Drosophila melanogaster: one gene and its partners. The protein of the gene in region 3 interacts with the protein of the main gene of each other region in a pairwise test. Each region holds a gene or a part of one and is shown on either strand. Other genes may lie near its edges. The genes, in order: Sp1, CG15269, CG42748 and ATbp.

Region 1 (7,883 bases), on a different chromosome or scaffold from region 3:
GCATAAATTCTATTTGGCATTTAAATTGTTTATTACACTGGCGTTGGGCATATGAAAAGGGGGAGCGGTACTTGACTGGCAGTTAACACGTGTTGTAATCTCAATTATCCAGCCTGAACCCTGAGGGGCGTATAAAGTTTACTCTAGAAGGGTTACCCATCGGTGCAATATGTTTTTAAAAGCGTTTCAAAATGGCAGTCGAGAATTCTGTCACCTGACACTCGATGCCATTCAAATGCATATTGATGTGTTTATTGAATTATTTGTCAATCAATCGCTGATCTAAAATTTCGGTCAGGGTCTGTTCCAGTTTTTCTCATTTTGGCATGCAAATTTCGAGCTTGTCGCTGCAAGCGTTGCGTATACGCAGCGTGTTCTCACCGCAGTTTTTTTCTTTATAGCCATGTTATAAACTGCAAGTCAGAATATCAGATATACGCATATGCATTTTTGGTGCGTGGTCTGTGTAATTGAAAATGAAAAAAAGAAAAAAAAAAATGATAAAAGTCGGGGTGAAAAGGAAAAACCGAAATTGAAAAAGGCTTTTCAAGCGGCACTTTTGAAGCGGCAGCGACCTTGTGCCGCTTGCACACCCCCTCCCTGGCGTTTCCTTTCTGGATTCCCCAACGTTTTTGCAGCATCATGCCAACTAATTTTCCAAATGACGCAAGTTAATTGCGACGGGCACAGCCTTTGTCAAAGGTGAAAAATGCCCAGACTAGAAAAGAGGGGAAAAGAATGAAATGGCCACAATGTAGCAAAGGGGCAGACACAAAAGCCAAGGCGCATTCATTAAGCCAAATCATATTAAGTAAATATGTCGAGCAGCCAGAAGGAGGTGTAAGTGCACTGGCAAAATAATCATGCTTGTAAGTACATTTTAAGAATATCTCTGATCTCGCAATCATATCGCCTAAGGAAGAAATGATTTGCTAGCAAGAAGTTCCTTTAAAAACCTCCTTAAAGAAGTAAAAGAAAATGATCCGAAATTTATGAAAATAGTAACCCTCGGCTAAATGGCAATGCTTAGCCAATCTGCTTTATACAACTGCTTTGCTAGTTTTTCCTCGGGTCATAGGGTCAGTGAAATTTCTCCGGGTGTACGATCTATGGGGCGCCTGTCACGGCTACCGCTGGCCACTCCCTACCTTTCAAGATCTCTGGCGCCTTCTTAACGGAGTGGAGAAAGATGCCGGAGAACCACAAACAAATTAGTCAATGACGCGGCGATCTTCTCCACAGTGTATTTTCATTAATATTTTATTGCTTAATTCCTTTTGTTATGCTGATTATGCCGACGCAGAGCTCACACTGAACAAATGAGGCTGCTGTTCATGGGAAAACGGCGCGGATCGTTGCATGATTTTCAATAATTTAACAGCGGCTTTCAATATAGGTATAGTCTGGTATAGTATAGTCTGGTATAATCCCTTCAGCGGAGCTGAGCTGAGCTTTTCTGTGATCTGCTAGCCACACGGCTGTCTCTTTTTTTTCCCGGCACAAATGTTAATTTCAGTTTGTCTCGGTAATTTATCATCTTTCCTCTGCGCCTGCTGTTCATTTTTTTCATTGCCCCTCTGATATTTCTCTCCTATGATGTCTTTAAACGCTTTTAATTAAAACCAATGCGCATGTGTAACTTTCTTAAGCAGACCCCAAAGACGTAGTCAGTTTTTTTTTTTTTTATAAATATATATATATATATATTTATATGGTTTTTTTTTTGCTTTTTGGTCTAGTCGCAGCCGTCGCTTTGAACTTGGCCGACAGGCGCGTTTGTTAAATGATTGATGTGGTATTAATTTTAATAAACGTTTCTCGTTCCTCGCTGCTCCATCAATATGCAGATCCGTTGGAGAACGAGAACGAGACCGAAAGACCAAGAGACCAGGCCAGTTTATAGCAGCCAGCTCGTTTCGTTCTGCGGTTCTTGGCAAATACATTTTTTTTTTTATGGGCACACGCAATTGCGTGGCGTCTGCACTTTGGTTCGACAAAAAAAAAAAAGGTGAAAAAATCGGAGAAAAATGAACGTTGGAAAGGAGGGAGGGGGGAGGGGCAGGTGGTGGCCAGGGGCAGCAGATTGAAAGTGCCTCAATCACATTGCGTCCATTTGGCGTTGCTGACTCTATTAAAAGTGTCATGCGATTCGGGCTAATCCTTCAGAACAGAGATAGTATATCTAAAGTACAATCAACCCTAATTTATTTATTTAATTATTCGTTTGGCTAAACTTTTAAAGTATACACTTTAGAACACACTATATTCTTCTTTAAATACTTTACAAACCCTGATTCTGATTTTAATGACTTCTAGCATTGACATCAAAGTTTTCATTTGGGGAATTTAACAAATTATTTTTAGCCAACTGATCTAGCCGCTGACCTTTTGCTGTGAATTACAGGGTTTTGAACCAATATCATATGATGTGGGCCAGCACGATGGACTTGCATAATCAGCTAACTGAAATTCGAATTGAAATCGAGAGCAAAAGCCCGGAGGAGCCGTACAAAAACGATCATTAGCGGAAATCTGTCTTAGTTTTTCGGTCCAGATCAAAGGCCGGACGAGATTGATGAGCGAATTTTGGATCGGGGCCAAAAGATCATTATGAACGGCTGCCTGATGCGTTTTAGCCTTTAAGTGTTTGCTTCCGCTGTGCGATAAGCGATACGAGTCGAAAAGTCAGCGTGGAAATACGATCTCTACAGATTTGCCAAAACCCCAAATGAAACAAAAAAAAAAAACAACAAAAAAAGATTTTAAGTAGACCCAGGAATGATTCCATCGTTAGCTTCACACCTCAAGTGAGCCTGAATAATTGATTTTGAGAGCGAGAAACGAGAAACGGCAAACGGCGCCTACCTGGTACCTCAGTATCTCAGCCTATCAATAGTATCTGTATCTGCAGCTATGTATCTGCGGCGCATACCGTGAAATCCGTTGGCACACAGAAAACAGTGAAAAAATCCGGGGCTGAACAAGCCGCGTCCAATCGATTTGTATCCCGTTCCCCGGCATTAGATACTACCAAACAATCCCGATGAGTTCCAATCATCATCGCCTCACAAAAGGAATCCAGCTGAGCGGCTGACAAAAGGTGTGCGCTACTGTGAATTCCTCGGATGCGAAATCGTATCCGTAACTGAATACAAATCGAAATCCGCGGCGTCTGTTGTCATTGTTTGTTTATGGCTGTTTATTGTCAATGCTAATGCCGTGTAAGTGGCTGATTTGTCCGATTACTGTACGTATGTACATATATTTTATAAGCGACAATTGGTAAGGATTTGGCAGCCGCAACTGTGAGATACAGAAATACTTGCCGTAAAGTAACTTCTTGACTTCTCTGCGCGAATGATTTATGTCGAAGTGCACGAGTGTCTGCGGGAGGCATTCATCAAATCATGACTAAGTCAGCAAATGCCTGCCAGTCACTTGTGCGCAGTGAGCCCACATATGTATCTATGAGATACTTTCGGGCTAAACTCTGCAGCGATAACTATGAAATGTTTAGCGAAGCGAATAGTGGGTGTAATAAATTGCTCTTAGTACATTGGCATTTTTCGTTTTTGGGTGCAAAAAACACTAGTTTTTCTAGAACAGTTGATTAAGACCCAATTATGCTTGTAATTCTGTATATTACAAATATTAACTTTCTGACATGACAATTGTATCTAAAGTAATGGTCACCATAATTGGCATAATTTTATAATTTCTTATACAGATTGATACATTTGTATCTCTACACCCTGTAATTGTATCTGTATAATAGAATCTACTACTTTTGGGCTATGCTGTCGATAGTTTTCTATTCGATGGATGGCAATTGTGTGTAAAGTGACGGTAAGTGTGCATAATTGAGGCCCAGTGTTAAAAGAAAGATACACTTCGATAAGAACGCTCTGACCAAATCGTATCTGTAGTGACCTATCTTGCAGATACATATCTCGAGGTGCGGTTTTGGTATCTTCGGATTTGGGATTTGAGATTTCGGCTTACCGGATTAACTTGTGGCTTCTGCAAGTGTGTGGCGATATTGCTGATGTTCATGCCCATGGCCGGAATCTGGGATCCGTAGAGCTGACCGGCGGTCGGTGTCATGTCCGTTAACATGGTTGCTGTGGATGTTCCTGCTGCGTCTCCTGCTGCTGCTGATGTTGCTGCTGCTGCAGTGGCAGTGGCAGTTGTCGTTGCTGCTGCGGCTGCTGCTGCTGCTGCTGATGTCAATTTGAGGCGCACAATGATGCTGTCTGTTTTGCTTCTGCTTTGTTTTGCGGCCACTTGGGTTTAGGGTTCGATTTTCTATTCTTTTCTTCTTGCTCAACTCAACTACTTTTTTCTTTGTTGCGACTATTGTTGCAGGCCAGGCTCACTGATCTTGGAGAGTAAGGGAAAAAAGATGTAAAGGACATGGACAAATGGATTGGCAAGCACAGCACAGCACAGCACAGCACAGCACAAGCACACACGCACTCAGAAAAAAAGCAAAGTGGGCTAAATCGCTTGAGAGCAGATTATGGCCCAGCTAATAGCCCAGATATGTATAATCCGTATCTGTATCTGTATCTTTTCTCGAGTCCGTCGGCGTTGCACTTTTCTTCACTCGGCCGTCGGCTGATGTTTGCTGCTGAGAGTTGCAATGTTTGACTGCTCTTATTGTCACTGGGATTTTGTGCCTATATATGGGCTTAATTTTTTTTTTATTTTTTTTATTCTTTATAGACTTCTTTTCTAAGGAACACAGGCAAAAAAAAAATGAAATATAAGCGATGGAAATTAAAGGAAACTCGAACCAAAAATGCACACAGTTGTTTTGTTTAGCTTGGCTGCTTGTTGGCTTGTTTATGTTTGTTTGTTTGCTTGTTGGTTTATTGTTTATTTATTTGCTTGTTTGTTTTTATGTTTATTTGTTTATTTATTTGTTTGTTTGGTGACAGGAGGCGCCTGCCAACGAAAAAAAAGTGTCGCTGCTGTATCCGCGCCAAAAGTAACGCCGTCGTCGCTGATCGTTCAAAGGCTTGCAACTGTTTCACGCGAACAAAAAGCTTGTCTAAATGTCGCCGCTGCCACCAACGCTGCCACAGTCGCTGCCGCTGCCGGCGTAGCTGCCGCAGCGGTGCGAGTGAGATAGCACACAGTCGTAAATTCACTCCAACTAACCAAAATTCAACGTGGGGGCCAACGATGCCATCAGTGCAAGCGAGACGCTCGTACAGACAATCCAAAAACAACAGCAACAACAAAATATAAAACAACACACACCACTCTCTAGAGTGGTGCGAATGGGTGCCAGGGGTAAAGATATATATATATATATATATATGCATTCGTGTATTCGTATTTTGGTGGTGTGTGCGCCTTTCCCTTCCAGTTTCATTCATAAAAACCCCGGCTGCTTTGGGTAAAACCAGTTCCCAGAGCACAGCCCCCTCTATATGAACGCTTTGGCCAATGGCAGATCGGACGGGCCTAACCTATAATTAGAGCGATGGCCGCTGTGCGAGCGAGATGGCACGCACACGGACACGTGCCCCTCGTGCCGTCTCTTTCGACAGTCCTGCGGCCCTCTCTTTCATCGCGTGCCTGCGTTAAAAACTGAAAACAAATGCACACACGGCAACAACTACTATTGCGTTCAATTAAATGTTCGCCAATGTTGTTTTCCCAGAACTGGATAGCTGAAAATCGTAGGAAAAACAAAAGGGTATACGAAATATATGTATGAGAATAGAAATGAAAATCCACGCAAGATGACAAATTGTTTTCCATTTCGACTTTTCGTTACTATCGGTCGCAGCGAAAGGGAGTTTTGCGGGGAAATGGTCGTGTTTTTACCTCGAAAACGACTAAATTAAAGAAAAGGAAATTTGGAAAAGACCAGCGAAACTTAGATTGCAACAGCTTTGCCCCCAAAAGTAGACTAACTCTGGAAATTGCGACTTTAAATGGTCTTAGCTTGAGCAAAATAAATCCAGGTGTGGTTTTATCACAGCGTTTAGAAATGGAAAATATTGCTAAATATATATAGATAGTTAAGAATGTTCGAAAATCATAACAAATACTTGGAAGATTTCACCGGATGTAAGGCTGCAGAAAAGGGTTTAACAATTGGAATTTATCTGACACATTTGAAAATTCTGTTTCAGAAAATTCACGAAATTCAAAGTATTTGTAAGATTACATAGCATGTTATTTTAGTAATATTTTAGGAAAACTAAAAACAATGTACATATGTACTTAGACTCTGATTTGGAAGATCCCGAGAAGTCGTGATTATTCGGAACCCAATCCAGATTAACCCGTGCCAGTTGGGCCTCCCACAGCTGGAAGCTGCCGGTCGAGCTGTTGCATTTCAGGGCTGCAGCTGAGAAGCGGGCTAATTGAACCACACCCCCTGTACCGCCCCGCCTCTCGCCGCCCCACCCCTCCGGCCTTTCTATGCAAACAAAACGCCCAGGCAGCCGAAAAACGCCAGCCCCTGTGAGAAAAGCTGAAAAGTCCAAAAACCAGCAACGGACTGTCGATGGAGGTGGATGATGTGGCAGTAGAGATGTGGAAGTGTGCCCAGCACAAGTTGCCTGGCCGCGGGAAATTCTCTGCACAGCGGGAAAATTGAGGAAAAGTGGGCCTTGTGCCAATCAGTATGCACGTATCGAGCATAATAACTTGATAATGAAATCAATTTTAAAGATAACCAACACCTATTATTAGTTTTAATTTTCAATATGATTATAAATAAAAGATAAATAAAAATACAAGAAATATTTGACTTTAACTTTTCCGGTGTTTTAAGCGATAACTATTGCTTTCCAATTCCTGTTTCTTACAGTGACCTGTAGTGCTGCCCAACTTCGAATCACGACCGTGCTGCAGGACAAATGCAACACATTAAGTGGTGGCGTTGGGTGGGTGGGTGTTTCGGCGGAGTGGGTGGGTCGAAGGGGTGTGCCCAAAGTCGCAGGCAAGGCCAAGCCACTTCCTGACTCCTCATGGCCATGGAATTGCGGTTGGACCTCATCAGCTGGGCAAACTGATAACGCTGACTGATTGCACGACGGCATTCCCGCTTTTCCCCACTACATTTTCCACCAGTCCCCTGCCTGTGGAAAACTGTGGGTTTTCATCTCTTTCACTGATATTTGTACGGCGAATCAGCTTTCTGCACTACATCGCTCTGTCTCACCGCCACTACCTGTCTCTTTTCCGCCCGCCGAGGGTGGTCTGCCACGCATTTTCCCGCCGCTTTTCCCCCCACTTTACCATATGAGTGGGTGGTTACCTATCGGCATTGTTGCCTTTTTTGAGTGGCTCCGATTTCCTCACATCAAGTCGATACATTTGTGAAGTGAAACAGTGCCACAAGTAATTTTTCTGATTTTCCGCCGAAAATTTTTTAGTTTTTATGTCCCTACATTAAAAATATTGGGCCAAATATGAAATGGCATGCCTTCCTAAGCTCGTAATTGAATTTCCAATCAATCTGTATTCTAGAATAAAAATTTAATTTTTTTTTGAAATTTTTTGAAAATTTTGATGATGTTACCCCTTACAAAAAATGCAAAAATTTACCCAAAAATTAAATTTCCTAAATCCTTCAAAAACTCATACTTATCGTTAGCACTGGTAATTAGTTGCTCAAAACAGTTATTCTTACGTCTATATGAGCATTTTTAGCCAAGTTATCACGAAAATTCCGTTTGTAAATATTAACTTTTTGGCAAAATCGGTTTTTCTGAATTTCGGTCATCAAATAATCAGTTTTTCGGCCATAACTTTAAAAATAATTGTCTGAATATGGAATATCATACCTCATTGTGCTCGTATTTAAATTCCCAATCGAACTGTATCCACAAATGGAAAATCTATTTTTTTCAGATTTT
Region 2 (8,833 bases), 7.0 Mb from region 3:
CTGCACCACTTGCTCGGAACACGCCGCGCACTTGCCCGAGTGGCACTCCGCCTGGCAGCGATGCTCGCCACAGTTAAGCAGCTTGTCGCAGATCTCGCCGCAGAGCACCTCTTCCTTCATGGCGCACTGCATCGTTTTTGTGCTGCGTCCACATCCACAGCTGCGCACCACGTTGGCCTGGCACGGCGGACAAGGGCCTGGGTGACAGAGCAGAGTGCAGGCATGGCTACAACCCTCAATTCGGCAGCAGACCTCGCCACAGCTGTGGGCCAATTCGGTCCGTGATACCGGCGGGTTTTTCAGTTTGCCGCAAAAGCAGAGATAGTCGCGTGGCAAATCCTGCAGCACATTCTGGCAAGCTGGACAACGCCAGCCCACCTCGGACTTGGAGCTACTCGCCCAGGTGATGGTGCACTTAAGGTGCAGCATGTGATAGCAGTTCCTGCACGACCAGGTTGGCTGGTGCGACTTGATCGCCTCCACGCATACAAGGCACTCCAATCGGCGCTGTTCGATGTCGCGAACCAGTTTCTCTCGCTGCGATAGTTTTTCGTTATCCGCCGGTGGTAGCGGTGGACCTCGCCTTGGGGAGATTTGCTGCAGTTGCGACTGCTTTTCGGGCGATGGGTGTGCGCTCTCATTGCTCGTGTCCAAATCGTCAACGGCCCTGGGAAAGCCGTTGATGCGGTCCCTGTTGCGATTCCAGTCATCCCTGCGTTTGTTGCTGCGATGATTGTCGTAGCGTTGCTGCTTCTGCGGCCTCCTACGATCGCTTCTTTCGTACCGGTCCTCCCGATCGTCCCGATAGTCGGAGCGGCGTTGTTGTCGCGTATTTCCGGGTCTAGAGTCCCTGTCCCTGTCCCGGTCTCTGTCCCGGTCTCTGTCCCTGTCTCTGTCCCGGTCTCTTTCCCTGTCCCGGTCCCGGTCACGTTCCCGCTCACGCTCCCGTTCGTAATTATGGTTCGAGCATTGGTTGTTAGCTCCTCGTTCAGCTGGTTCTTGGGCTCGCAGAGTCCTAGGTCTCGTCTCATTTATGGCAGTCTCTAGGCTGGCAGTGCTGTTTCCGTTCGTAGTGGCGGCTGCCGGTGTCTCTTCTAGACTCAGCTTGGCGAAATTGGGCACGAATTCCGGAGCCGAGGCCTGCAGCTTGGAAGCGCTGAAGTCAAACGGATTATTGCCAAAAGGTGTGTAAAAACTCGAAAAATTGCTGTTGCTCGGATTGACCGACCCATAGCTGCTGGTGACGGTGACTCTAGCGATGCCATCGCCATTTTGATAGGTTGGGATCATGGCCTGCGAGTAAAACTGTTTTGTGATTTATTAGTTGATTCATTAGGACTAAACCTAAGTTCTAATATATCGAAACATACATTCGGAGATTGATGACTCACATTTGCAAAGTGGCTGGTACTCGCGGATGCCACTGGTGGGTTCAGTCCAAAGGCTCCTCCACCGCCGCCCAGGGAGAAGTTAGTGTAGCTGCTGCCCACCGGATGTTGCATAGTGCTGGTGGCATTCGAGGGCGCTCCTCCACCCAGATTGTGCTGCATAATGAACTGATTGAAGTTCACGTAATTGTTGTTGCTGTGCCTGTTGCAGGAACCACCCACTGCCGCCGATTCGTGACCTCCGTTGCAGTCTGCCATGGCGGATGACTCATTGCCGGGTCCCGCTTCTCCGGCGCCGTTGGTCAACTGCTGCCAGTACTCAGCCATTGAGAGTCCGGTGCTGTCGTTGGTGACCAGCGTCTGTTGCAGTTGCGCCTGCTTCTTTGCCGGAACAATCTCGAACTGCCCGCCGTCCTCTGCTGGGCATTTCCCAGCGCTACCACGGGATCGTCCGCAATCCGAGGAGGAGGTGACCGAACCCAGGAAAAGCTCCAGACACGTGTGCAATGGTGAAATTGAGCCCAATGCAGAAGTTAACCGAATCGAATTCTCAGTTCGATCGAATTTGGTAAAGGCTTTCTACGGCCAACTGGACGCACCGCAGCCTGGGTCCGCAGGCACGTTTTACTGATTTTTTTGCGCTTTTCCTGCGTTTTTTATGCTCGCTTATATTGTAAATTTCTAACAAAATTTCACAACACGGTCATACCAGACGAAACGGTACCACTGACAATTGCCTTGACTTATCGATATATTAACAGACTTTCGATTTTTGAGGGGAAAAGGGCTGCCAACTCGGTTTTAGGACAGCTGTGAATACAATTTAACAGCAAGATTTCGTTTAGTTACTCAACACACCTACAGTGGTAATAAACTATCAGGTGGCGCCATCTGGCTGAGTGAGAGCGCACTTTTAAATATGTTAAATGTACTGCAACGGTTCGTTCATTTGTTTACTAAAAAAACATACATCTTTTAATTTTTGTCACTAGAAGATTTGAATTAAATAAGGCTGCGTTATCTGATTATAAGCGAAATTACCTAGTTGGACTCCCAATCATATCTCCAATCCAAAATATTATTTCTAGAATCCTGGAATCCTTTTGTATTTGATATTATACTTTATTGACTGGCCAATATATATGCCTATTTTAATAATAATTAATGTCTATTCCTAATTTAATTTCTAGCAAAATTATTGCTTGAAAATAAATGTAAATTGAATAACAACAGTGGAAGTACTGCACTTTGTAATTGCCACAAATTTGGTTGAAACTGGCCGGGCACAACGATTCCACCCATTTAGAATGTCCTGAGATTGCTGAGAAGGGTTTGCTGACTCGGCGGTTGGGATGGACCAGATCCAGGTGTTAGAACTCCAGGAGGTGGCGGCATTTGAAATGTTTGAGCCATGGCCATGGCCAAAGTGGGCGGTGGACCTGTTTGTTGTTTTCCCGGTACTGGAAGTGCGGATGATGTGACCGTGAGTCCATCCAACGGACGGTACTGACACTTCTTAGCGTGGGTTCGCATATTGCTCGACTGGGTGAATGCCTGATTGCAGTTGGGATGTGGGCAGACATACGGCTTGCAGCCTGTATGGTAATTCAGATGCGTCTTTAGGTGATGCTTTTTGGTGAAGGCTTTGGGGCACAGGGGGCAGCTGAAGGGCTTGATTCCCGAGTGGAGGCGATGGTGCAGGGTCATGTTGCTGCGATCGGCAAAGGACTTGCCGCACACGGAGCACTGATACGGTTTCTCACCACTGTGCGTCCTCATGTGCTGTTTGAGCAGCATTTTACGCGAAAATCTCTTTCCGCACTCGTTGCATTTGTGGGGTTTCACGCCGGTATGAATCCGGACATGCATATTGAAGGCCACACGCTGATTGAACGATTTGGGACAGTAAGGACACTCGTACTCCTTCCGGTTCCGGTGAATCTTTAGGTGACTGCTCAAATATCCCTTATCGTTGAATGTCTTGCCACATTCGGGACACTCGGCGGCAAACTCCTTGGTTCCTCGGTGAACGGACAGGTGATATTTGTAATTTCGCAGCTGGGAGAAACCCTTTCCACAATCCGCACACTCGTAACGCGGCGATTTGTGCGTCTTTTCATGAGCCTGAAATAAGAACATAATAGACAAATAAGATAAATAAATAAGATACATTAGCTTAGCAATAGTAATATTGTAGCAATAGTAAGAGATTTAAAATTTTAATAAAAAACCTGAGGTAGTGAAAATCTGTTGTGAAATTCATAAAACAGCGATTTTCTACAAACTGTTCGTTAGTTAGTTAGTTTTTGGAAGGGAGGCTTTCAAGATGAGTATGTTTAGCAACATTTTAATTAGGTCCTAATATTAATACCTTATTCTATAAGTTCTAGTGAGGATTGGAAGATTTCGAATATAAAGTTACTGAAAACTGAGCTTTGGACACATTTATACTTATACAAAATAAGCCAGAAATGCAAAAAATACCATGGTTACACATTCGAATGTTCCCCATTGTTTGTAATAATTTTGTTGCAACTTCAAATGTGGCTTGCTTCAGTTAGCTACTGAAATTGGTGTTCTTTCCCAAAGTGGCCATTTTGTGATTACCTCTCGCTCGGCGTCTGGCCCTTTCTAACGTATCTTGTAGCTGCACCCATGCGTAAAACCAGTTCTCTCTTTTTTGCCCGCTTCTGTTTCTGTTTTCGGCCGACTCCATTTTGAACTCGGATTGCTTGCGAGATTTGCATAAGGCACTCAATTCTTCGCTGCCTCTCTCTTCCCCACTCCACTTGAATCTCCACTCTTTTCTTCGGAGCTCCGCCTTCCAATTAGACTACTGTTTCTCTGTTTTTTAGGCCCCGCCCAAATCCATATGGTATCTCTGTTGGTGAAGAAACCCGTTTTGGGAGGATCTCGTGTGGATGTGGACTTTGAGGACCGGCCAAACGATATCTTATGTGATGTATGGCCATGTGAAAGGTTAATGCTGTTCTTGGCTTAGATGTTTTGAAAGGAGTTAAATTCCTAAAGTTATTTAATGGCTTTGCAATAATAATTCTCAATCATTTAGTACTCCGCATAAACACATATTTCTTTGTGATAAATGTATACGTAACCGTTGATGAGATCTAAATCATTAATTTTTTTGTTACTTATAATTAAAAAAAAAAATACGCGTGCATTTGCCAAATGCTTGTGTGTAAGTACAAACTCTTTAAGTGACTTTACGTATAAGTTTGATTGTGCTATTTAATTTATAAGAAAATTTCATACAATCGTTCATTTCGTTTCGCTTTTTTTATAACTAAACAGCAGCAAACTGAAATAAAATATAATCTGGCAAATCTAAATCATTTCATTCTTAAATTCTAATTGGGAATTGCATATATTTTTTGAATATTTGTATTTCATTTTTTAAAAGTTGAAGGTCTAATGAAATAAAAAAAATTAAAATTCTGTCTACACTATAAATATAAAAATTTGTTTCGTGGGTGTTTTGTGTTTACTCGTTTTTGAGGGATTTTAAGAATAAATTGAATCCTTGGGTTAGAGTTTGGAATATATTTAGGATGAATTATCTTTTCTAAAGCTAATAACTGATAACTAAACGCTTTGGTTGTCATAAATGATATATACTTGTAAACAGAACACCATCGTAATAATAATTTAATAACAATAATAAAATCTCACCTGCAGAGTTTCAGAGCATCCGAATACCTTCTCGCAAATCCGGCACTTGTAGCTGATCTCCTCGGCGGATGTGGCATTGTATCCACCGATACCACCGATTGCTCCACTGTTGCTGCCGACGGCTGTGGTGATCAGTCCACCGGTCATCTTGGGCATCATTCCGACGGCCGTTGCCTGGACCGAGTTCAGACTCAGATTGGTCACGGTGGTCAGTGAGATGTTAGTGCTGGCGGCTCCTCCAGTGGCACTCATAATCAGATCCCTCACAGGACGTATTGATCCGGTGGAACTGCTCACCGAGGAGGCGGCGGGTGAGATGAGAGGTGCGGTCTGCTTATAGCCACCAGTCTGCAATCTTTGGTAATAATCCAGGCACTCCGGGCAATCCGGACGAGTGCATGCGGTGCTTTTGGTGCGTATGAGAGGTTGCTGTTGCTGCTGCAGTGGTGGTGGTGGGGGAACCGATCCATTGATCACATAGGGAGCAAAGAAGCGTTTCTGCTGATTTGGCAAATGCTGCTGATGCTGATGTGTTTGATAGGGCGACGTAGGAGGAGTACTCAAGCCGGCAGCCGCTGCAGCAGCCGCATAGGCGGGCAGTAAGTGCGGGAAGAATTGGGCATAGAACTTGGTGGCATTGGCCATGGCCACCAAATCTGGCGGCAACATGGAGTAGGCACCGGAGGCATAAGGAGTTGATGGTATTGCCAGCCCTCCAAGAGCCTGTGGGCTCCTAATACTGTTGCTACTGCTCTTGGATAGATCCAGGATATTCGTGCTCGTATCCTGAGCGGATTTACGCTCCTTGCCCAGAATCTTACTGATGCTAAAGTCAGTGACTTGAGCCGGTGGCAACTGTGCCCCAGCTCCCAAGTTCTGGACTCCATTGGTGGGTGAAGTACGCGCCGGCGAGGGCGAAAGGTCGTAACTGCGCTGCAGCATGGCGTGCTTGAAACCCATTCTTCTCCACACCGAAGAATCACTCATAGACCGCAGGCGTTACCGTTTCGGATGACTATTTTCTGAGGCGTAGGCGCTTTTTAGCCCGGGGAACTGTCGCGTTACGCGTCGAAACACGAAATGTCTTGGCCTCACAGCCCACAGCAGCCGTCATCGTCTTTTGGCCGGGCCTAAAGCCTGGCTTACGCTCCCGCTCTCGAATTTAATTGGTCGAGAAACAGGTTTGACCGTACAGGTCGGTCTCGCTCCGTATCTCTCTCTCTCATAGACCGGGAGTCTCTTCTCCAATTAACCAGGTTTGACTGCTGGAGACAAACTGTCGCGCCTCCAATTACGAGAGGAGCTGCAATCTGCAGACCCAGAACCATTTGCTAGTAGCGTTCTACTAGTCACATCTATCATAAACCTTATCGCTCCTTTCAGATCGCTCTCCGTGCACTACTCTCTTTCATTTTTTTTATCCACTGGACCTCTCTGATAAAGTGACTAAGATTTCGTTTTGGCCGCGTTGTTTTTGTAATTAATTGCGGTAATAAAATGTGCGCATCGTTAAATTTTCAAAATGTATTTCTCTTGTTCCTCATCCACACACACACATTCTCATCCCCGTCCACATTCACATCCTCGCTGATTCCGAATCCGATTCCCAGGCATGTGTGAATCTTACGGTTATGCGCATGCGCAGCGATCATCTCTTGAGGTGACTTGGTTCGTCACGGCTCTGCAGTCTTAGCCATGTGTGAGTGTGGGAAGGAATTGAAGCTAGGGACTAGATGACATAACCGTCAAACGATCGTCAAAATGGTGTATAGGAAATCAGGTATTTTTCTTGCGAATTTAAAAAGGGTTGTTAACGGTTCATGATTGACCACACTGGCCAAAAAACTTAACGTAAGCCCAAAAGGTCTAAATAATCATATATGGATGATTATGACACCCTCTTGAAATATTTTAGTAATTAAGGACGTGCTGTGCCATTAAAGTAAAGTAAAGAATTTTTAAGAAACAACAATTTGAACCCAAATATTTTTCCATAAATTTATTAAAAAATAGCCTATGCCAATTAAGGGTGCCCTACAAATACCTCTTTCTGAAGCATTTAAGCTTGATCCACTACATTTAGTTGCCATCCAAGAGGGACTGTGACCACTTCCTCGACTTGCATAGCATCAGTAGCGGCCATAAAAATGTGCAAAACAAAATGCTCCTCAAGTGATTTGTGATTGGATGAAACGCGCATAAATAACATGGTATCCAGGCCGAGGATTCGGAGGATCCATACACAGGTGAAGTAAAATGGTGACACACCACGCGAATTCAAGGAAGCTGCAGATACAAATGAAGTGGTATACATTTACAGCTACATGGAATGAGATCCGGTGAAATGGAGTTGATATTCTGACTCACAAGGATTGGAGGATTGAAAGTCTCTGTTTTCTAATTGCCAATTGCCGCATAGAGAGACTCTAATGCGCAAGGCACAATCTTGCACACGATTTGTCCACGATCACTTACAAAACGATCTTATCAGGATTACCTGGCGGAGAAGCCCCTTCAAATCCTCCGCGCTAGCCAACTACCGATCCTCTTGCCAGTGATTAATAATGGTTTGACTGTCAACACGCGCTGCTCGCTTTGGTTGACCACGATCTGCATAAATTTTGATTAAACAGGCTATTCATTATAATTATACATATGAGGACCGGGCGAACACCACAAAACTTGTTCAACCTTAGTTGAAAAACTCTTTTTCGTATTTCGTTTTTTTTTTTCAGTTCGGTTGGCATTTCGTGGAATTCCGCCAGATAATTTACATATGCGAAGCGAAGGAAACTTAAGTTTTAATTACACTCACTAAATCATCGGGCCTCTGCAGCAGACTCCAGGAGACTTTGTTTTGTCGCATGACTAATGTTTATTAGCTGCTAATGGTTTGTTTTACAAAAGCTACGTGGCTGCCCCATGCGAAGTCCCTCCATTGCCAGCTCCATCTCCATCCGTAGCATCCCATCGCAACGCATCCAGGTGACTCGCATGAACGCTCCAAAACTGTTTCACCCGTTGACATTTTGACAAATTTCCAACTCCTTACTACCGTCGTCGTTTTGGGGCCGTCTCCAATGTAAGCTGATACCTATCTCAGATGCCCAGATCCCCATCTCCATCTCCATCTCCTCGATCTTCCCCATGGTTCTTCTTCTTTGTTCACACTATTAATTTTCCGCTCGTTATTGTCGGGATTGTGCGTTGTGGTTCAGTCGACTGGTTCCCCCTCATTGGGGTGGTCGGCATTTATCTTATTTTGTGTGCGTTTAAAACTTCTTTGTGAAACTCTTTAATGTCATGTGTTATCGGTTAATGATCAGCCGCGTTGCCAAGTGATTTTCTGTCAGCGGGTGATCAACTTTGCCTGGGATTTCCCCACCGAACTCCGATCTTCACCGCCGGTTCGGGTTTGTCCTCCTTACGGATTCCGTTTAATTTCCTTAGTTGCGTGGACCTTTGGTTTTATTCGCTGATGGGGCTTTGGATCGTTGGATTGTTTGGACCTTCTCGTCTGCGCCTTGTTATGTGTAGCTTGACAAATGTGTTGATTTGCCAAGTTTATTTCCAGCGATGGTGGGTCCAACATTTTGGCAATAAGATTGAACGACCTTTTTGGACTTTCTGATCTTTCAAGGCGAACTAAAAGCAACAAAAATATAAAGTTCTGAATTTCCAGGTAACACGTTTTGGCCATGAAATGTATTTGAGTTAAATTGAATACAGTAATTACAAAAATGATCATTTTAAAT
Region 3 (8,043 bases):
ATCCGATAGGCAGCTCATATAGATCAAGAATATATAAACTTTAATTCATGCGCTGCAAACTTCTGACTGAAATCAAAATACCCTGTGCAAGGGCATACAAAAATAAATACGTTTTTCAACAGTGTGAACGGAAAAGTTTTAAGCGGTTTGTGGGTTTAGCAATTTTTATGCTCAGCAGGGATTTTACAGTTCATGGCATCACAAACGTAGAGATTTTATTTTATTTACAACACTACCTAATCTCTGATTACCTTTCATGCGAAACCAACTTTTCCAAGCAATTGTTTGGTTGCTACAATTGCACATCTGGGGTGTGATTATCACATGCACATCTACATATGTATGTACATGTGTGGGTACACCTAACATATTTAGTAACGAGGCTTGGGAGCCTTTTATTTTTATTTTATATTATGTCTATGTTGAATATATGTATGCATATGGAGTATTATAAACTAAGCAAGAAAGAGCGATGTAGGCGGGTTACTCGTTACTAAGCTATTTGGTGTGCGAACGAGAAATTAAAAAATTCTTTGGCATATCCACAGAAATTGGCACAGGAATTATTAAAAAAGATAATATCAGCACATTTTTCGAAATTGTGGGAGTGAGAGTTTTGGAAGTGGCAAAAAAAAGGTGACATACTGATAGAAATTTCAATATATGTACATACATATGTATGTATATTTACGGCAAGGGTATAACTTAAAACATAAGCAAAATCTTTTTTCTGCATTCTACTTAAGTACAAGTAATAAGTATCGGCTATTTCGGATTTTGGCTTCAAACAGATCTTACGATTTTAGTTACTGTGTTTTTGAAAAATATATGGTCCTTTCTGTTATAATTTCTTGTATTGTGTTGCTGGGAAAAAGCAATGAAAAAAGAGGCAATTGTACCATACAGCATGGGTTCATTGACTTTTTTCACTCGTTCACGCTACAGAGCCTCTGAAAGTTTTTTCACATATTTCGGTATTGTTGTGGCCCTAGTAGTAATTGGCAACGTCCCACATTTTTAAGCATAAAGCCCAAAAGAGGAAAAAATTTACAAAGCCACAATACCGAGACTAACATACCCTTACTGCTTGAACCTTGAACCCAATTGCAGGAAATGGAAATCGCCTTGTTTTATGATATTCGAATCAAAATGTAAGAATATATTTACGATTCTTCGTTTCGAATTTGTATGTAATTGTAGCCAGTTAAATTAAGTTTATTTTTCGGGATTAAAAACAATCAACGTAAAAATAAATATACTTGTACAGTAAAAAAAATATATAAATAGATTAGAAATAGGTAAAATGAGGCGTTTCCGAACCGCATCATAAACCCTCTCGAAAGCTTTCAAGCAGCTCAACGTCCAAACTTTTGAATATTTTTCCTTGATTTGTATAGATGTTTTTGACACGCCCGCTATTTTAAGACATTTTTTATTTAATTCGTTTTTAATAATTGCGTAAAAAGAGTCTAGTGTTTTGTGACTTCACAATACACTATAAAAAATGTAATATTTTGGAACGAGCCTTATCAAATGTTTAGTTTACCGTCATTGTATCTCTAGCTTAAAAAGCTAATGCAGTAAAGTAGCGGGTTTTTCAAAAGTCATAGAATTAATTTTTTATATCGAGCAATTTAGTGTAATAAAAATGTGTGCAAGGGCCTGAAACAACTTGTGTATTCGCTCATACAAAATCTATTGCTCAAAATGGATAGTGATCGTGTTTGTTGCTAAATAATTATAATAATTATCCTTCGCGAATTTTCTACGGAAATGTGTTCTAAATATTTGAATATTTAGGAATTGAAATTGATCGAATCGTTTTCAAGAAATCCAACAGAAATTAAGAAGATATATATTTGTTTTAATCATATTTTCTAATCTGCTGTTGCTTAGACAAAAAACGTTCCAAACACACTTTTTCTTTCATAACAGCATTTGAAAAGCATTTCGTGCAGTGTAAATAGTTACATAAATTGAATTTGAAGTATTATAACGTTTTACAAAGAACTAGAAAGATATATATCCGAAAGTTGAATTGAAAGTCATATTCAGCCGAGTTGATCCAAGAATATATATATACTTTATATGGTCGAAAACAGACCTTTTTGCTACTTTAACCTAAAATTTAAATGACGTATTTTATAATTGTTTATACATCTAGTTGAATTATAATTTCTTTAAGCTAAATCTTTTGGGGACAAAAAACGCTTTTGAGGCTTTGAAAACATACAGTACCGCTTACAGTAGGTTTCACGAAAGACACTAGAATAATTTATTTAATTTAGAACTTCGAATAATTATTGTAATGTCTATGGTTTGACCTTTTCCAATTTTCGAAACGTTGCAGCTCCTTAAAGTGGACTACGATTTAAGCGAAATAAATTGTCGTTGTTGTTGTTGTATAAAAAAAACGTCATTTTTAAAATAGTTTTGGTTCTGTTAGTTTTGTTTTTATATTATTTTTTTATTTTAATTTAATACTTTTAATACTTTTTATTTTAATTTATACTCTCCATAACAAGGGTCCCCAAATGTGTTTGATAGTGTTGATGTGAGGGGAGCAAGGCGGCCACTCAAGCAATCTTAATCCACTGTTTTACGATTCAAATCAGTGTCATAATGGAACGTCAATTGAATATGAACATAAATCTCAGAAACCGTTGGAAAACCCTTTTAAGGTACAGCCTAGTACGCATTTGCGTTCATCTTCGAGGTGACAAACTGGAACTGGACCATGTTCCATAAAAAGATATCGTGAAATTAGTAATTATAACCATCAGGTCCATCAAGGTTGAACTTCTTTTCGTCGGAGAAGGTTACCGTCTTCCACTCCTTGTTCCACTCCGTGTTTTCGGGCAAATCGAAGTCGTGATTTTTTTTCGAGCATCATAATGGAGTTTTTTTTTTCAAATTCTTTAAGTTCGCATTCTTCCCTTATTTTACCATCAGAATGAGTGGAATTTGGTAAGTTCGTATGATAAGTCTTTCCTCCGATGCTGTTGTTGCATGTTTTTCCCTCCACTCATTTTTTATATAGTCTGCTTAGTTACGATCAAAATTGCTAATTGCTTTGACTTCGACCTATTTTCTTCGCAGATTCCATATCCATATAGCCTTTTACTTTACCTCGGTTAAAGCTTTTCCACGGCCATTTTATAAATAAACAGGTATTGAATGTCTTAAATAATAGAATACAAAAGAATGCAACCTTTTTCAACCACACGGTCCAACAAAAAGAGAAGTCAAAAGGGTAAAAGCTATTCAGATGAGCCAAAAACAATGGAGATTTCTTCTTATATAATATAAATAATATAAAAACATACATAATATAAAAACATATAATATAAAAACAAAATTTACAGAACCAAATCTTTGCTATTCCAAGGAGGACTGTTTTCTTTATAAAAAATTTAAAATAGTCAAACCTATTCAATTATGCGGCAGTGTAAGTTCAAAACAACAAACCGCACAAAAATTGGAATAAACATAATTTATTCGGTTCGTTTTTTTTACATGACCATTATGGTAATAAATTTACACAGCTTTTATTTATTTATTTTAAAATATACATGTATAAAATATATATACATCGGTATACCTTGTTTGCGGATCGCTGACTTTATGTTATACGTAGCTGCCATAGAAAGGAATCGTTTTAGTCAAAATTGTACTATGTACTTCGCAGTGGATGGCAGTATTTTATATGGCCGTATTAAACATATCTTTTTTGTGTAACTGTGTAAATGTATTTTCAAATAGAAAGCGGTGAGGTCTCTAAGAGCTTTCTAGTAGCAAATGTGATCATATGCATGTACATACACATACATTTACATGTATTGTGTTGTTGATATGTCGGGAATGCAGTAAACATTTTTATTTATATACAAATCCATGCTTAATTTTTTATTCGGCTTCAACATACATACATCTGTACATAGATACTTATATAAAATAACAATAGAATGTTCAGTAGAAAGAGTCCTGACCGGTTGGGCAATATGACAAGCGCGACAACGAAATCTCCGCGGTCTTCTGGTCACTTTTATAACTTTTTGAAAGGCATTGTATGTTCTCCATGTCTAATTTACAACGAGCTATTTTTTCTTTGCTCTGCTATTTTGTTTTGTGCCCTCAATATTCACGTAAACACTCAGATACACTTCTTTCTCAAAACTACTGTAAACGAAAGCTGGAGAAATAGGCATTGTTCATATATTTATATGTACAAATGTGTACATCCTATATACATATGTACATCGTACATATATCCACAGACGAAATACATATGTAATTGGGGCGGCTACAGACACATTGAAAAGACCGCACGATTGCAAATGGCTAACTCGCAAAGACAACGCTCAGATAGAGACTGAATTGAGCGGAGCAAAGCTGTAAACGTGTCTTAGACTAAACGTGGCCGAGAGAACCGAGATAAAGCGGAGACACGAAAGAGGCACGAGAGAGATCCGTTTAAAGCCATGAGCAAGGCGAACAAAGAAACTGGTTAGAATACAGGCAGGCTTGTTCCAAAACATTGGGAATCAAAGAAGAATCTCGGCTAGAGAAGGGCGCGACGAAAATGGCATGAACCCTTTTTATACCCACTTAAATGGGTATGACTTAAGCCAAAAACAAAATACGCAGACAGCTTTGCGATTTTTGTACATACATACATAATTATGTATGTTGCATATATATATGCACGTATATCTGACATTACCGCTGCAGTGGAGCGGTAGAATGGGTTGAAAGCGGGTTGAAAGTATGTATGCAAACGTTGAAACTAACAACATTTTTTAAAATATTATACATATTAGAATAGTTCAATTAAATACATACAAATATACGCAATAATATATACAGTTTGTCAAGAAACTGTTTACACACTGTGAAATAAGTTGAATTTTTGACTTTAAAGCTAAAAATTAAAGGTTTTTTGCTTAATTAAACGCAATTTTTTTATTCAATATAATTAAACAATATTTATTTTACTTATAAATCAAATCAAATTAAAAATATTAAATATACAAGAAAATAAACACCAAATTCCAAGTTTGCACATATTTGAGACTGTCAAGAAACTCTTTACACAAAACACTAAATCGAAGTTTAATTCTAAATTTTTTAATTATTTTATTAAAATTTTAAAAGTTTTAGTATGTTCCCCATATATATACGCGTATATTTAATACCAATTATTTGAAATATAGGTTAAATATGTATATGTAAATGTTCGTAAAATTTTTTTAAGTAATCAATACAAAATCAGATTATTGTTTGCAAACAAAAGAGCTTTTTTTTAAATTTTATTTTTATTTCTTGTATATTACAAAACAAATTAAAATCTGTAAAAGTCCTTGGCGACCAACATATGTATGTACATATTTATGTAGTAAGTGCGGTAAGACCTATTGTGACTATGGATAATAACTATATTGCAAGTGTAGATATTATTACCATTCTGCGATATATCTCTTACATCGAAGGCAATAAGATATTTTTTGTAGTGCCTGAAGTACCCTTAATATACTACCGTGGACGATAGTGACGAAGCGCACTAGAAAAGTGTGCGAAGGCGACTATTATGTGTACATATGTATGTAATGTACATATGTATGTTATACTCGAAAAACTACATGGAAATCTGCGGCAGCTTTCCAATCAACAAGATATTCACCAATTGGAAAAAACCGCTAAACCTGAGTGGGCGTGGCCAAAAATTGTTTGGCGTCTTAGGAATCTGCATGTCAAATCTCAACTCTCTAACTTTATAAGTTCTTAAGATCCAGGCGTTCAGACGGACAGATCGTTTAATCCTGATCAAGAATATATACACCCTATATAACGGGTATAAAAAATAGTAACATTCTAACATATACATTTGGTATATACGGACTTTCTTTATAAAAATGTAGCAATTTTTTAATCGACACAGTTTTTAATCGGCACAGTTATCTTCAACTTTTTATACCCCTGCCCTATTTTCGTAGAGTAAAATGGGTGTACCAGATTCGTTGAAAAATATGTAAGAGGCAGAAGGAAGAGTTTCTGACCATGTAAAGTAAATATATTCTTGATCAGGATCAATAGTCGAGTCGATCTGGTCTTGTTCGTCTGTCCGTCCGTATGAACTCAGGAACTATGGAAGCCTATAGAGTTGAGATCAAGCATACAGATTCCAGCCACGCAAGTCACGCTCACACTTTTGTAAAATGTTTTTCCATTTCTTCATTAGTAAACACCCACAGTTTTGAAAAAGCGTTGAAATTTAATTTTTTTTTTATTTTACAAATATTTAATTTTTAATATTAACATTATGTATGCCTCCGTATGCTACGAAAACCAAATTTTTGGTTTGGAGTTTGAAAACTCAAGTAGGTCCCAAACATTGATTTTGTTTTAAACGACCCCGTTGCAACTCATGATCCTCCAAGTGGTACCCTGGGTACCGATTTCAAAATTTTAATCAAAAGCTAAAAGCAAAAAGATTTTTAATTTGACTGCTAAGTAACGGATATGTAATAGTCGGGCAACTTGATTATTGCGTCCTCTCTTGTTTTAATTTGATGTCGGACTATATTTAAATACCTAAAAGCGTAAAAATAACTACATATTAATGCACAAACAATAAAATTGAATGCATACTAACTTTTCTTATGCTTAAAATATTACAAATGTGTGTATATTATTAGTTTAAGTTTCAAATTAGTGAGTAAATGAATTTTTCACATTTCTTTATCTTTAAGTCATTTTTGAAAGGCAGGTGGTAATTGTGAGCCTGCACTAGTTTTAGGAGATAATAATTACGTGTTTATTTTAAACAAAATCGGAAGGTACTAGTCAGTAAGCATTAATTATTATTTTTTAAATAAGGCAAATATGTATATTTTAAAATATGAAATACATGTATGTATGTCCGTATAAATAAAACCGTGAAATCAAATGTCGATTAAGTCATTTGACATAGCCAAGCCAGGAAATTTGCGGCTGATCCAAAAATATCTACCTGAGTGTAGCATAGGTGGGATAAATTTGGGCAATACGACCAAGATCGTCATCGTTCTCCAATTGGGAATCCTTCCGTGTACGCCGAACTGGTAGGCTGGGCATCGCTTAGCTTCGAACCCAATTACGAATATAGCAAATTTATACGCGGTATTTGTAGCTTTCCCAGGATAACAACACAATCCGCATAGACGGAATCTGCGATCAGGGGTGATCAAACGTTAGAATTTGCACAACATTTGGGTTTGTTTACCTTTTTGAAGTTCGAGATCGTAATTGCTTGTCTTGTGAGACGTAGATAGTTTTCAACGTTGGGGGTACTCCGGCCTTGGTTGTTAACCGCAACCAAATACTTAGCATGCAATTGGCGCAGTCGAATGACGGAAATTCACATTCCCTAAGTGCTCGTTAAATAGAAGTTAAAATACTAGAATTGTATACATATACTGAATCACTTGGTGAAAGAAATATAAAATGTTTGTTATCACTGATAAATTTTAATATACATTTTTAAATTCAATCAAAGTCAATTCCATATTATCTGTACTTCATTAAAAAATATAATATTATTAAAACAATACGATCCCCACCGGCGTTGTATATTTTCACCGATTTTACGTGTTTCATTCATTCTTGAGTTTCCCCTGATACGTGTCTGCGTGCTGCTGGATGTTCTTTGAGTTTTGTAAAATTTTATTTAAGTCAATGATCACTTGAGCGGTAAGGTTTGAAAATATGTTCACTAGCCTAAGTGCATGATTCAAAGAAAAATATACATAACATTTTCTACGTTAAAAAGAAGCATCTCGACTGATTTGGTTGTTTCGCTCTATCAAGCTCACGTTTCGGTTTTCCATTATTATGTAATTTGAGTGATATATATCGATTTTTAAGAATTTAACACACATTATAGAAACATAAAAAATATAGAAACATAATAAAATTATAGTGCCATCACTCGCGTTTATATTAATAATAAAAGAAAGAATACTATAGTCGAGTTCCAAGGCTATCAAATAACCGTTACCAGCTAGT
Region 4 (7,482 bases), on a different chromosome or scaffold from region 3:
GAACGAGGGAGAAACTTTGAAACTTGATTGTCATATCCATAAAATTGTTTAGAATAACAAGAGAGAATGCTATAGTCGAGTTGCCTGAATATCAGATACCCGTTAACCCAGATATTTTTCTGCGATACCAAAAGATGTTGGGGAATAAAATGAGAAAAAATTTCAACAATTTTCAAAAGTGGGGCGTGACCGGTTTGTCGGCTTAAGGGCGTCACAGTGGGTGTGGCAAACAGTTTTTTTTTTGCACATCGATCGGAATTTACAAGACTAATAAAGATGTGAAAAAATATCAATATATTTTTCAAAAGAGTGATCGTGGCATTTTTTCGTGGGCTTGTGGGCGTTGCAACATGGATCAACAAACTTGCGCTGCGTCTTTGTCTCTAGAATCTGCATGCTAAATCTCCGCCTTCCAGCTTTTATAGTTCCTGAGATCTCGACGTTCATACGGACAGACGGACATGGCTATATCGACTCGGCTATTGATCCGTTATACAGTCGGAAACGCTTCCTTCTGCGTGTTACATTCCTTTAAACGAATCTACGTTACTCTACGAGTAACGGGTATAATAACCAAATAAAAAAGTCTAAACATATTTAAAAAATTTGGTTGGCGTTCGAATGAGATGGTGGAGGTATTTTGGCAAAGCGATACAAAGTAGCAAAAAATCAAAAAATGCAATGAAAAATAATTATAACATTTCACAAAAGTGTGGGTGTGAACCTTTTGGGCGGTTTGCCGTCGTTAGGGTGTGCGAATATTTCAAAACTTGCCCACGTACCACTATGTGAAATTTTACCACTTTTTCTGCCCAAAATGAATAACTCCAGGACGTTGAAAGATATTCAGATTGGGTTACAATATATCCGTTCTGAAACCGCCCCTTATATTTGTTGTAGTTTGTAACTCTAGAACGGATAAAGATATTTAAATTTTTTTGCCATTATCTTTTATGATACCAAAAATTGTGGCCGTGGCACCGCCTCTTATATTTAATTAACTAATTTTGTATAGGTATTTCTCTAATTTCGTATGCTTTTTCTAGTCCAAGCAAAAGAATGGTAGCTGTTAAGATGATTTTGGCTTGATGTTTGATGCCAATTTGATGTCCTCGAGATGTTGGTTATATACATTTATTTATATATTTAAGTATGTCCTGTGTGTTAAAGTTTTCAATAGTTGTAAGTGGATGGCTTGTTGCGGTTCTTGCTTGGCTGTCAGCGAGTTCATTTCCTGGTGTTCTTAATAATGCAGAATTTTGCTCTTTTATTTTTATGAGTTCTTAGGGCCTCAATAATGGCTAGTATGATGTGCCGTTTGATAAGTTAAATTTCGTAGTTAATAGCGAAGCTGGTAATTTTGTTTGTTTGAGATCCATCTGTGTAAATGTAGGTCTAGGAAAGATCGTTAGTTTGCTTATTATTTAATATTTTCCTTATCAATTTTGGGGTCGTGTTGTTTTTGTTGAACTTATTGTGTGTTGTGTCGATTTTAGAAAGATTGGTGTTTCAGGGAGGTGAGGTTTGGGGGCATATATTACCCGTTACTCGCAGAGTAAAAGGGTATACTAGATTCGTTGAGAAGTATGAACCGGCGGAAGGAAGCGTTTTCGACCATATAATATATATATATTCTTGATCAGGATCAATAGCCGAGTCGATCTATCCATGCCAGTCTATCGGTCTGTACGTAGGGAAATGCAAAGACAAAACAAAATGTGAAAATATATCGCACATACCTAAGTATGTAGTTATGTAAATACACATACATATATACATATATTTCACATTTTACATAGCCACATATGAATATACATATGTGTTTTCGGGTAGGGTATCATTTTAAAAGTGTCTGTCTTGCGTTACTTACATTTTTTCAATAACAAGTACTCAATACTTTTGCTTTTGGATTGTATTTTCTCCACTGTACATTTGTATAACAAAATCCATAATATTATCTTTTAAGCTACGCATTAAGGTAATTTCAGAAGGAAATGAACGATTCCTAGTGACTTCAATATTATTGAATAATAATTGATTTTTCCAAAAAAAAGATTGTATTCAAATATATTTCGGTATTGTTATATATTCATACATAAATTCATTTATACACATAACGGAAAATTAAAAAACATCGATTAGTTCGTAATCAAAGCACATTAAATCAATGCTTAACAATAATCAGGACACACTATGTAGTACGTTATTTAAAAAATTATTAACATAATGCTTGTGTTCTAACTAAATAACCGACTGACCCTTTCAGGAGTAAGGGAGAACTCTTCATTCTGATAATGAAAATGCGAGAAAGATGGAGCTATTCAAACAGCAAAACATTGATACGGACAAGTCCAGTTCGACTCTACTAGTTTTCCTGATCAAGAATATATGTATATACATTAAAGGGTCGGTAACGCTTCCTTTTACCTGTTAAATACTTTTCAAGGAATTTAATATACGCCTCCACCATACGAGGGCATGAAAATCATTTTTGGTACTTCACAACATTTTTAAAATTGTAAAAGGCTTAAAGATTCCATACAACAGTTATTTAATATCGATAGAAAATTCGCGATTCTGGACTTTTATTTAGAAGTTTTTACCTTATCGATATATCGATAGAAGATATTTAAAATGCTATAAAAGTATTTTGGTTCTTCCAATGTCTAACGCTTTTTTTGAGTGTCCTGTTGAGGAAACCAATGTTTTTTAAGATTTTTTCCCAAAGCTTCACATGCGTTTTATCGTTTGTAAATATAATTCCTAATTAAAGTTTTTTTTATGGACCACTGATATGTAGTTCTTTACCATCAATGCGATAGCTGCGTTCAAGTTCGACACTAAATAAGGCCGATGATTAATCGATACTATCGACAGTGCCCATTCGGCCGATAGCTAAACAAAAACAAAAAAAAAATAAACATAAACAAACAACAGCACAAGGACCGGACCTAGTCAAACAAAACAACGCCATGGGTTTTCCGCGCATCCTCAGCAAGAACAACAAGATCTACACCAAGCTGGGCGAGTTCTGTTTGTCGGGGGATAGCTTCTGGATTGTTTGTCACACGTGCCAAGAGGAGTTGCAGACACAGGATCAGTTCTGGAAGCACATACAGGATGAGCATAATTTCATGCACGGGGTGGCAAAGGTATGCTTTATGTGGTTTTTTTTTGGCGGAGGGTTTATAACCCTTGGTCTCTTTACACAGGAACACAGTCGTACATCCAGCTACTGCCTAACGGATGTGGAGGCTGCGGCGGCAGCAGCAACGCCAGGAAGCAGCTCCCAGCAAGGCGCCACAGCGATCAGTGTGCCTCTGGCACTTTACACCTGCTCAACCAAGTATTCTGAGGAGGAGCAGCGGGAGGTGGAAATGCACGAACAGCAGGTGCAACACCAAGTGCAACAGCAGCAAGCGCAGCAGCAGCAAGCGCAGCAGCAACAACACCAACAGTCTCAGCAGCAAGGGCACCAGCAACACCAGGTTCAACAACAGCAGACCCACCAGCAGCTCCAACAGCAGCGGGATGTTGCCAAGGAGCTGGCTGAACTCCATGCCAATGCGGTAGCTGCCGCTGCAGCCTCCGCAGCTGTGGTATCCACAGGCGAAGGAACTACCCAAAGTAACAGCGCCATCGACATTAAAATAGAGCCCAGCAGTCTGACACTTACACCCGAAATGCAGGCTGCTGCAGCAGCTGGGGGGACCATTTACCATCTGCCACAGCTAGTTCCACCACCTGTACCGCCTCCACCGCCAGGGTCCGGATTTGTAAGCGTCAGCGCCAGTACCAGCACCTCCAATACGGTCAGCACCACGCCACCCAATGTTCTACAGCAGCAACAGCAACTAAACATGTCTGTCGTTCCTTCGACGGCTATGGCCGCCGCTATGCTAGCCGCCAGTCAGGAACAGCTGCCCAAGGACTCTAACAGCACGACGGCCAGCGCCGGGAGTGCTGTCTCTTCAGATGACGGAGAACGCTGGTACGTCTGCGATTACGAGACTTGTGGTTTGAAGTTTAAGTATAAGTCGAGAATGGAGCTACATCGGGTAGTTCACAGCAAGGAGCGGCGGTTCAATTGCGAACTGTGCAGTGCCTCCTTCAAGCAGTCGTGCAACCTATCAACACACCGGAAGAAAAAGCACGCACTGAGAGGCATCAAAAGCGAGATATTGCCGCAGCGCTTTTAGGCTATACATTAAACAGAGACAGCTCAAAGATTCCCCAATTAACCACATTGCATCTCGAAAAACCCTGTTTGAAAATGTTGACTTAAGTTCAAGGAAATCGCTTGTTTGCCACAAAAAATGTTCATTGTGCTAGGAGCCACAGAAATCTGTTGAATTAGCAAGGTGTGTACAAAAGAGTTCTACATTTTGTCTCTTCCATGATTTCTCTGCCTTTTCTAAGACTCAATAAAGTTATAGACTTTATATTTATATTTATAAATTAAATAATTCTGGATAATTCCGACTGTAAATTAAAATTTAGCACTGCGTCAACATTGTGGCAGGCAAGTGACATATATATGTATATCACATATGTGTATATATATATGCTCTACAAATGAATATATATTGTATATAAATAAATATATAATATAAATATATATAACATGTATGCATATTTAGTATATAAAAATATACAAATATAAACTAATATCTAATGTAGGCTTAGGTTGTCATGTAAATGTAATGTAAATGTTTAGGCAGAGGTATGAAAACCCCCGTTATCTTTTACGCTCTAAGTGTACATGCAATGATGTGTGTAAAGGAGACCAAAATTTAGAAGACGGAATTAAGCCCAACCAAAAAATATGTTGGTGTCTAGACCGTTGTGAGTTTTGTTTTAGAGTAAATTGGTTCACAATGTGTTAAAACCGATTAGTCTCCTTTGAGTAAGTCTTTTACTTTAAGTTGAAATGGATTCTGAGGACAGCGAGATTTCTGGGACATATCTAGTGGTTGCTGAAATAGTGTCAGTTACAGTTTACAAGGTTAGAACAGTTATTTACCTAGATACACAATATTTATGTATATATGGCCATATATACAGCTGCGAAAAATTTAATATTACCACTTGCCCAATCAAGGTTTGAATAAGTCCCAATTTTAGGATTTAAAAAGAGCAAAAATACCTTTTTAGAAAAGTTAAATCATGCACTTATTAGAAAATAAAAAATAATTACATTGTTCTATGAGTTCTTAACTTAATTAGCCACGTCATGAAAAATGCTTAAATATTCAATTTTAAACAGCTGTTCAACGTGTTGGCATGGATTGATTCAGGTCCTGGCACTGTTTAAGGGATATTTAGGTCCAGGACTTCTTAATTACAGCCCAAAGTTTTCCATTGTTAGTTGCTCGAGAAGCTACAACTGCCTTTTTATTATCGTTGAAAGTATGTAACAGGCAGAAAGGAATCCGACCATATAAAGTATATAACTGCTACGCCCACATTTTTGAAAAATTGTTTGATATTTTTTCATAATTTTATTAGTTGTGTAAATTTCTATCGATTTGCCAAAAAACAGTTTTGAACAATTCTTAAATTTTTTCTCATTTTATTCCCCAATATCTATCGATATCATAATAAAATGATAAAATTTCGTGTTCGCATTCACACTAGCTGAGCAACGGGTATCTCTCTTGTTTTTCTTGTATTTTATCCATTGCCCACAAAGTTAACAACCTTGCTCACATCTGACCATAAAATGTTAATGCGCTTGGCTATGTGTCTCCCATTAAAAGGAGGGACTTTCCTTGGACTTCAGTATTTTAAACCATGTTCCCTGAGACATGTTCGAACTGTTTCTGCTATTGCGAATATGCCGAGCATCTGTTTCAGTTCGATAGCAGCTTTAAATGGGTCCTTCCTGCTCTCGCGCACTAGCCTTTTGAGTTTTTTAATTTTTCGCACTATGGGAAATTTGAACACCTTTTTTGTCCAAAATTAATAGCTCGAGAACGATATTAAGATATTTTTTTTGCATTGGGTTACACTAGCACATAACTAATTTTGTATAGGGCTAGGCGATTTCTGTGGCGCTCTAGCCTGTCGTGGTACCCGCTGGAGTGCATGTTTATTGCCTCGAAGACAGTGGCTAGCTTGAGGTCTTTGTGCAGGGTTGCGTTCCTTACGAACCATTCGTATCCCGTTATCATCCTGGCGATTTTGTTTTGGGCAGCCTGAATGCGACGAATTTGACTGTCGCACGCCAAGCCCCAAATTTGGCAACCATTCCGACATATTGGCGCTAAAATTTGCTTGTAAATTGTCACCTTGTTGGAGAGTGACAATTTACTTCGCAAATTAATTAACCAGAAGTGCTTTGACGCTGCTGCACGTATACGCACTCTCATCGCACTTGCTTCGGAAAGTTGAGTCTCCGATCCAAGATTACACCAAGATATTTGGATGAATTGGACTGGGGGACAGGGGTACCATCGATGAGCACAGCCGGTGGTGTTCCCCTTTTCAGTGTGTAGCACACATTCGCTGATTTGTCACCATTGATGCCAATGTTCCAACGTCTTGCATATTGCGCAAATGTTGATGTGAATTCCTGGATGCCTTGATATTAAGGGTGAGAGTGTCAACAGCTTCTTCTAGGTCTCTCCATCTTGGTATAAACTGTAGCTGTTGCATCTAGTGTATAATAAGCGGTAGGGGGTCGGAGCTGAACTCAGCAACAGAACGTTCAATATATCAGCATGCATATCCAGTATGCCCCTGCTGACAGCAAAATCTATATATTCTGGGGAGCCTCTACTGCCGTACGGGAATCTTGTAGGACCTCCGGTTGCTAGGGAGCTCATATCTGAGCTTAGGACCAGATTCGCTAGCTCACGCCCTCTTCGATTGCACCTACCCGCTCCCCATAGCCAGTGGGATGCATAATGCATTTAAATTCGTCCGTATTCCATATGAACCTCGGGGGCAGTATATCGCGCAAAAATTGACAGGGCCATGGCCCGTCTCGATGGCTGCAGACGCGAGTTGCACCTTGTCAGTGGCTATCGGTGTAAGAGGGAAGTGGACTAGGCTGGAATTGACCAGGATCGCTGCACCACCTTTGGCGTTACCGTCGCTCGGGTCGTTGGCAGTGTAGGACTGAAATCCAAATATTTTGGGTATATGCGTCTCCTTGTAGTGAGTCTCGCTGAGCAGCAGGACGTTGTGCGCCGCACAAAGCATTCCACTTCTGACAGCTTCGTGGACACGCCATCGGCGTTCGACACTAAGATGCGCAGTGGCATCATTATGGCGCTTGACGCGCTTGGAGAGCAGTGAGCAGATTGATGATCTGCCCCTGCTGCTGTGACTGTTGTTGCTGTTGTGTCATCATCATCATCATTAACTCCATCTGCTTCTCTTGAATCGAGCGCAAAGAATTAATACTTTCATTTAGCGTCTGCAGGATGGCTTCAATGCTGCTGCTAGCATCCATCGAGCGCTGAAGTGTGTCCCCAG

Evidence for each region.
Region 1: the proteins of CG42748 (region 3) and Sp1 interact in a two-hybrid assay, tested with the Drosophila melanogaster proteins (one large-scale study listed by BioGRID).
Region 2: the proteins of CG42748 (region 3) and CG15269 interact in a two-hybrid assay, tested with the Drosophila melanogaster proteins (one large-scale study listed by BioGRID).
Region 4: the proteins of CG42748 (region 3) and ATbp interact in a two-hybrid assay, tested with the Drosophila melanogaster proteins (one large-scale study listed by BioGRID).

What each region holds. Positions count from the first base shown.
Region 1 is NC_004354.4:9,726,797-9,734,679, reverse strand, and holds the start of Sp1 (Sp1), read right to left. Parts: upstream 5,033-7,883; 5' UTR 4,797-5,032; exon of another isoform or gene 4,381-4,796; 5' UTR 4,117-4,380; coding exon 4,003-4,116; intron 1-4,002.
Region 2 is NT_033779.5:15,106,772-15,115,604, reverse strand, and holds CG15269 (uncharacterized protein), read right to left. Parts: upstream 6,201-8,833; 5' UTR 6,021-6,200; coding exon 5,079-6,020; intron 3,513-5,078; coding exon 2,691-3,512; 3' UTR 2,513-2,690; downstream 1-2,512. Other genes in the region: stc (shuttle craft), read right to left, coding at 1-1,305, 1,371-1,715.
Region 3 is NT_033779.5:22,130,666-22,138,708, reverse strand, and holds the start of CG42748 (uncharacterized protein), read right to left. Parts: upstream 4,377-8,043; 5' UTR 3,602-4,376; intron 1-3,601.
Region 4 is NC_004354.4:23,103,132-23,110,613, forward strand, and holds ATbp ((A+T)-stretch binding protein), read left to right. Parts: upstream 1-2,871; 5' UTR 2,872-2,972; coding exon 2,973-3,152; intron 3,153-3,212; coding exon 3,213-4,199; 3' UTR 4,200-5,200; downstream 5,201-7,482. UniProt on the Drosophila melanogaster protein: May be a transcription factor for genes having (A+T) stretches in their promoter and/or enhancer regions. Binds to AT rich DNA.